Oryctolagus cuniculus: one gene and its partner. The protein of the gene in region 2 interacts with the protein of the main gene of each other region in a biochemical or structural test. Links are inferred from orthologs where the notes say so. Each region holds a gene or a part of one and is shown on either strand. Other genes may lie near its edges.

Evidence for each region.
Region 1: the proteins of JUP (region 2) and CTNNA1 form a complex in vitro, tested with the Homo sapiens proteins (2 studies listed by BioGRID). The link is inferred for Oryctolagus cuniculus from reciprocal best matches to the Homo sapiens genes JUP and CTNNA1.

What each region holds. Positions count from the first base shown.
Region 1 is NC_091437.1:26,592,807-26,596,622, reverse strand, and holds part of CTNNA1 (catenin alpha-1), read right to left. Parts: intron 2,003-3,816; coding exon 1,799-2,002; intron 1-1,798. UniProt on the Homo sapiens protein: Associates with the cytoplasmic domain of a variety of cadherins. The association of catenins to cadherins produces a complex which is linked to the actin filament network, and which seems to be of primary importance for cadherins cell-adhesion properties.
Region 2 is NC_091448.1:20,947,545-20,950,664, forward strand, and holds the end of JUP (junction plakoglobin), read left to right. Parts: intron 1-304; coding exon 305-455; intron 456-537; coding exon 538-659; intron 660-1,285; coding exon 1,286-1,325; intron 1,326-1,502; coding exon 1,503-1,654; 3' UTR 1,655-1,668; intron 1,669-1,921; 3' UTR 1,922-2,579; downstream 2,580-3,120. UniProt on the Homo sapiens protein: Common junctional plaque protein. The membrane-associated plaques are architectural elements in an important strategic position to influence the arrangement and function of both the cytoskeleton and the cells within the tissue.

The DNA of each region.
Region 1 (3,816 bases), on a different chromosome or scaffold from region 2:
CCTCAACTTAAAAAATTAAATATTTTCCCATGTTCAACCTTAAATACAGATTTTTTTGATGTGTCCCTTATTCTCATTGTGACTTATCAAAGACTTTTTCCATTCAATTTAACTAAACCTATAATCTCATTTTTCTGAGGTAAGTTGCCTAAGATCAAAACATTGCAATGGCTTTAACAAATTGTATATGCTCCACTAATTTCACAACATGGTACAAAGAAGCTAAAGTAAGGCACTCATTCATCTTCACGGCAGGAATTCCATCCTGACTCCCCATTATCTCTTCACATGTAAGTAAACAACAAAGATGTGAACAAACCAGAAAAGGACTAAGATCTTTTCCTCAAAAGTGTTAAATTAGCAAAGAAAACCACTAGTAATGACAAAAAATTCAGATGGTCCCTCACTTCTTTAAAATTACTTTATATAATTTTCATTTAATATATTCCTTCTTTTCAACAGTAAAATGCCGAACAGAAAGTCTAAACTACTACAACTGTAAGCCAGCATTAAATAACGGGAATAGAAGGGAATGTATAAGGGAAGGGGGAAAAAAAAAAAAACATGACTACAGAAAATAATTACAATTACAATTTAGTCTAGCAATTATGATCCTCTATCTCATATCAGAGGGTCTAGGGTTTGATACCTGGTCCAGGCTACTGATTCCAGCTTCCAGCTAATGCAGACTCTCAGAGGCAAAAGTGATGGCTCAGGTAATTCACCTCCTTTCACTCATGTGGCAGATGTGGATTGAGTACCGGACTCCCAACTTTGGTCCAGCCCAGCCCTAGCTGATGTCTGTATTTAGGGAATCAGTCAGTGAACAGGAACACTCATTTTCTCTCTCTTTCTGCGTCTCAAATAAATAACTTTTTTTAAAAAAATTCAAAACATCAAGGACAGCACTGTGGCGCAGGGGGTAAAGCTATCAACTGCAATGTTGGCATCCCATATGGGCACCAAATCCTGTCCCAGCTTTCCACTGCTATTCCAGCTTCCCTGCTAATCGCCTGGGAAAAGCAGAAGTTGGCCGAACGTTTGGGACCTACATGGGAGACCAGGATGAAGCTCCTTCCTTCAGTCTGAGTCAGCCCTAACCACTGTGGCCATCTCGGGAGTGAACCAAAAGATAGAAGATCTCTCTCTCCCTTTCTCTGTAGGTCTTTTAAAAAAAAAAAAAAAAAAAAAAAAAATCCCAAACATTACCCACAGTTTGCCTCATAGAGGTCTACTTGGCAATTATCTACTCTTAAAACATTCTGTATGGTTCATTTAAAAAGTTACAAATTATAAATATTAACAAGAAAAGGATTCAGCATTCTCTTTTGCCCAAAATCAGCTGCTCGGGCACCTATTTGTGATAATGGAATTTTAATAGTATCCAAGATCATCATCCTTGGAAGACACATACTGAAAGACACAGAGGTGAAGTATCACAGTGTCTGCAACTCACTTCCGAACATTTCAGAGAAGAAAAGTACACTTCACATGCACATGAAAGCATTTACACACATATGCAGAGATGCATCTACGAGTCAAGTATGTCTACATTCTGTGCATGAAGGGTAAATACATGAGCACTGTAGGATTTGTATATGTGTGAAGTTCCTCAAAATAAAAAGCTGGAGAGAAAAGGACAATTCAGAAAGCCACTTAGCCATTCCTTGAGAAATACGCTCCAACCACAATAGACAAGGAGCCAAGAACCTATCTGACGGATATATCTCACAGTAACGGTAAAGACACGTTGTGGAACTCTGGAGACAAATACCTTACTTCAAGAAAAGACACTCACGTTGCCCATGTACTCCGAGAGCAGGTCCTGGAGGGCCTGGCGAACAGCATTGCATTCTGCCACAATTCGCTCACGTCGGTCATCACGCGTGCAGGAAGAGTCGGCCATCAAGGCAGCCCCACTAATGATGCTTTCCAGGCGCTCCTCCAAGGAAGGCCTAAAGCGCTCCTCACTGAAGCTCAAGGGGTCCACAATAATTTGTTTCTGTGGAGGAAGCATCACCAAATGTTAGTGCTCATCCCTGTTCCTTCCACTATTTAAGAAGGCACAGAAAGTAATGGTTGGGAATATCAAGATTTAAAACAAAGATCCCAACGCCTGAAAGGAAGTTATGCTTCTTGGCAGATGAAGGGCCATTCCATGTAAGCTGGCCTGTGGAAGGTCACTGCAAAAAGAAAATAGTGGCAGCAATACTCACCAGTCAAATGGGCTGGGCAAGGTATCATACCACAAATGCGAACAGAAATGTTACCATGTCCATAATACTTATTATAAATATCTACAGGTCAGCCTATAAATGCTTCACATAATCATCAAAGGAAAACTGCAAGAAAACTGTAAGTTCTCTCACTTTCTTATGCACAAAATATAAAACTGCTACATGATATTAAAAGAACTATTTTACCACAAAGTAAAAATAACACTGACCTCTGTCCTCCAAGTTTAAGACAGGAAAGGTATTTGACGCAGTTAAGTTTCCACACGGGATGGGATGTTCATGTCCCTACTGGAGTACCTAATTTGAGTCCTGGCTATTCTGCCGCTGACCCAGCCTCCTGTTAATGGACATGCTGGGAGACTGAAAGCATTCCATGCACTTGGGCCCCTGTCATCTATGCACAAGACCAGACAGTGTTCTGGCTCCTAGCTTTGGCCTGAACCAGATTTGGCTGTTGTGTCCAATTGGGGAGTGAACCAGTGGATGAAAACTCATTCTATTTTCTCTCTCTCTGTTGCTTTGCCTTTCAAATAAACAAACAAATAAATCTTTAAAAGGGGGGTAGGGGGGAAGATGGCACTGTGGTGCAGCAAGTTAAGGTGCTGCCAGTTCCAGTCCTGGCTGCTCTACTTCTGAACCAGCTTCCTGCTAATGCTGCTGGGAAGGGAGTGGAACATAGTCCAAGTACTTGGGACCTGGCCACCCATGTGGAAGATCAAAGGGAGTTCCTAGCTCAGATCACGTTACTGTGGACATTCAGAAAATGAACCAGATGATGAAAGATCTTTTTCTCTTTTTTTGATCTGCCTTTCAAATAAATAATTTTTTTTTTTTTTTTGACAGGCAGAGTGCACAGTGAGAGAGGGAGAGAGGCAGAGAGAAAGGTCTTCCTTTGCTGTTGGTTCACCCTCCAATGGCCGCCACGGCTGCCATGCTGCGGCCGGAGCACTGCGCTGATCCGATGGCAGGAGCCAGGTACTTATCCTGGTCTCCCATGGGGTGCAGGGCCCAAGCACTTGGGCCATCCTCCACTGCACTCCCTGGCCACAGCAGAGAGCTGGCCTGGAAGAACGGCAACCGGGACAGAATCTGGTGCCCCAACCGGGACTAGAACCTGGTGTGCCGGCACCGCAAGGTGGAGAATTAGCCTAGTGAGCCGCGGCGCCGGCCATATAAATTTTTTAAAGAAAAAAAATCCGTTCTCTGTCTTTCCTTCCCCCTCCCCACCACCCCCCCCAACTCCACGTGAATCCAGTTCTCCCAGTGCTGAGTAAGATCTAGTCACAAGCTACAGGTATAAGGTCAATTATCAACAACCCCAGGGCAGCAGCTATTGGCTTCCCTCCAGATTCCCCCCTTGATAACATTTATACTGGTAACCATCTACGCAGATATTGTGACTTTACTAGTTCTTTAAAGGGACTGTGTCCCTATTGATTTCAACTTAAATGCCAATTTTTTCCTAACGATAGCTTGCCCTTTTCCAATAAGGATACATTTCTTCACCCACTCCCAAAGAACTCCTAGTTTTAAAACTGAACATGCAAACCCTTAAGTTTAATATTAGCCTACTTTTCAG
Region 2 (3,120 bases):
TGCCTGCCCCCTAGGAAAAACTTAAATAATATATGAGGAGGTGCTTTATGCTACAATGTCAGATGCAAAAAAGCAGGACTCAGTATTGTATCGACTGTATGCTAATTGGGCTGGGAGCCAGACCTGGCAGTGCGCCAAGCTGTTAGCAGAGGCCAGGGCGGGTTTTTTGGTTTGTTTATTTCCGGGGCTCTCCGCACTTTTTTGGGATGAGCTTGGGCTGAACGTGGAAAAGGGCCGGCCGTGCGGGCCTGCGGGCCGCCTGCCCGCCTGCCTCACACCACCACGCCCCGCGCGCTCTCTGCAGCTGCTGTACTCATCGGTGGAGAACATTCAGCGTGTGGCCGCAGGTGTGCTGTGCGAGCTGGCCCAGGACAAGGAAGCCGCCGACGCCATTGACGCCGAGGGCGCTTCTGCCCCGCTCATGGAGCTGCTGCACTCCCGCAACGAGGGCACTGGTGAGGGGCTGTGCGGGGCAGGGGGGAGCGGGCTGTGTGGAGGCCCGAGTCTGACCCAGCCTGTCCCTGCCTGTCCACTCAGCCACCTACGCCGCTGCTGTCCTGTTCCGCATCTCTGAGGACAAGAATCCAGATTACCGGAAGCGCGTGTCCGTGGAGCTCACCAACTCGCTCTTCAAGCACGACCCGGCGGCCTGGGAGGCTGTGAGTACCCTGCGTTGAACTGCAGTGCGCGGTGGTGCAAGGCGACATTTGAGGGCTCCTAGCATGCTGTCAGCGTCATATTGTTAATTTTATAATTGGATCATTTATGGCAGTTCCTAGCACATGGAATTAGGTTGAACCATATATATCTTTACTATTTTTTTAAAGATTTATTTATTCATTTGAAAGGCAGAGTTAGAGAAGGAGAGTGTCCATCCACTGGTTCACTCTCCAAGTGGCCACAGTGGCCAGGAGTCTGGAACTCCATCCGGGTCTCCAACAGAAACCCAAGCACTTGGACCATCCTCCACTGCCTTCCCAGGCGTGTTAGCAGGGACTGAACCAGTGCCCATAGGGGATGCAAGCGCTGCAGGCGGTGGCTTAACCCACTGCGCCACACCACCGGCCCCCCAGATCTGTTTTGACCCACCAAAGTGGCCGTTTCATTCTGCCCAAAGGAAGAGCAAGTGTTTGGGGTGGCAGGCAGAAAGCCGAGGTGCTGTGTAGGTGTGAGGTCTCCGCCCCCACCATCCCGTGTTCCTCCAAGGGGGCCTCGCTCCCCTCCCCCAACTGAGGGCTGCCCAGGTGTGAGTCCTTAGCGCCGCCCCGCCCCTCTCGTTGCGCAGGCGCAGAGCATGATCCCCGTGAACGAGCCCTATGCGGATGGTAAGTACAAGTGGCCTCCCCAGGGCCTGGGACAGCCCGTGTCTGTGGCAGTCCACGTGTGCTCCAGCCTGGATCCCCTGGCATGGGAGTCTGGGGTGAGGTCAGGCCCCTGGCCGTGGGCAGGGGCACAGGAGGTGGCCCGCAGACCCCCACAGGGAGCCCCCTTCTCGTCCCCAGACATGGACGCCACCTACCGCCCCATGTACTCGAGTGATGTGCCCCTCGACCCGCTGGAGATGCACATGGACATGGACGGGGACTACCCCATCGACACCTACAGCGATGGCCTCAGGCCTCCCTACCCCACCGCCGACCACATGCTCGCCTAGCCGCCCCCGCCCCGGTACGGCCCCGCCCTCCCGGCCACCATGGCACCTGCCTTGCCGCGTCTCCACCCTCTTGCTGAAACCCTGGCTCCTGTGGGGGGAATGGGAGTGGGGTCAGGGGTGTTCCATGCCTCCCAGCCTCTTGTTCCAGGGGAGACCCCAGGCCCTTCTCGGGGAGGGGGCGGTGGGCAGGTGACACGGGAGTAGTGCGAGTTTCTGGGGGCACAGGTCTGCCAGGCTGCCTGACCCACTGTGTCTGCCTCCCCCCAGGTGCGGCTCCTCATCCGAGAGGCCCCCGTGCGGGCGATGGGGGAGACAGAAGTGCCTGAGCGGGGAGCCGGGGCTGCGCCTTGCTGCTGCGCCCGGGCCGCCGGAGTTCCTCCGCGGGGTCTTTCTTGGGATGGTGTCCTCTCGCTTTGCTGTCCTGGGCCCTGGCCACTGAAGCTTTACACGCAAGCCGCCCGCTCGGTACCCCCAGCAGCCCCTGGCCCACCTGTCTCCCGCTGCCCGAGTCCCGGCCTCCGGGCTTCGGTTCCTTCTCTGGGCCTGGTTTTTCTCACTGAACCCCACTGAGCAACTAAGGCCCCAGATCCCGAAATCCAAAGCTTCTCATGAAAAGTGCGGGGGTGAGGGGACGGAGACGGGGCATGGGAACCCCGCCGTGCCTCTCCAGCGGGCGGGGCTAGCTCTGGCCCACCCTGGGTGCTTGGGGGACAGCTCCTGCGCACTCCCCCGCACACAGCTGCCCCCTGCGGTGTGTAGTGAGGGGCTTTCTCTTCTCTTCTTGCTTCTGGCTCCTCCCACCCCCTGCACATGGGTGGGGGGGCTGCGGGAGTCCCAGTGGAGAGTTTTATTATCATCGCTTTATGTTTTTGGTTATTGGTTTTTTGTATAGACCAAAGCAAAGAAAATAAAAGTAACACAGATACGATGGGCCATCAAGGGGCATGGTTGGGGAGGCACGGGGCTCCCTGCCCCTCCACCCGCCGTGGTCTGTGGCTTGCTGTCCAAGCCCCTTGTGGGTCTGCAGTGGACCCACCCCGGGTCCTGCCCACTTCCCCTCTGATCCCCCACTGCCCACTCTGTCCTCCGCCATCCCAGGGACAGCCAGCACCGATCGCTGTGCCTGCTTCATCCACCCCACCGGACCCAGCTCAGACCTGACCTGGAAGCACTTGCTCTGTGGCCCCTGCTTTCCTGGCCACGCCCCGCTGGTGCTCGGCTGACCTCCCTCATCATGTCAGTCAGGCTCTCGGCTTACATGATGGCCACTCACAGTGCTCCTGGCAAACCTGAGAACAAGAGGCACCTGTGCCCCTGCTGGCCCCACCTGCCCAGTCTGGGGCCAGAGCACCCGATTAGGAGGTGGCCTAAGGTCCCCTGAGCGCTGCCTGCTGAGGCTGTGGGAGGGGACAGAGGACCGAGTTTCCAGAGCAGGCGGCCTTTTAACCATGCACTCTATACTCTGT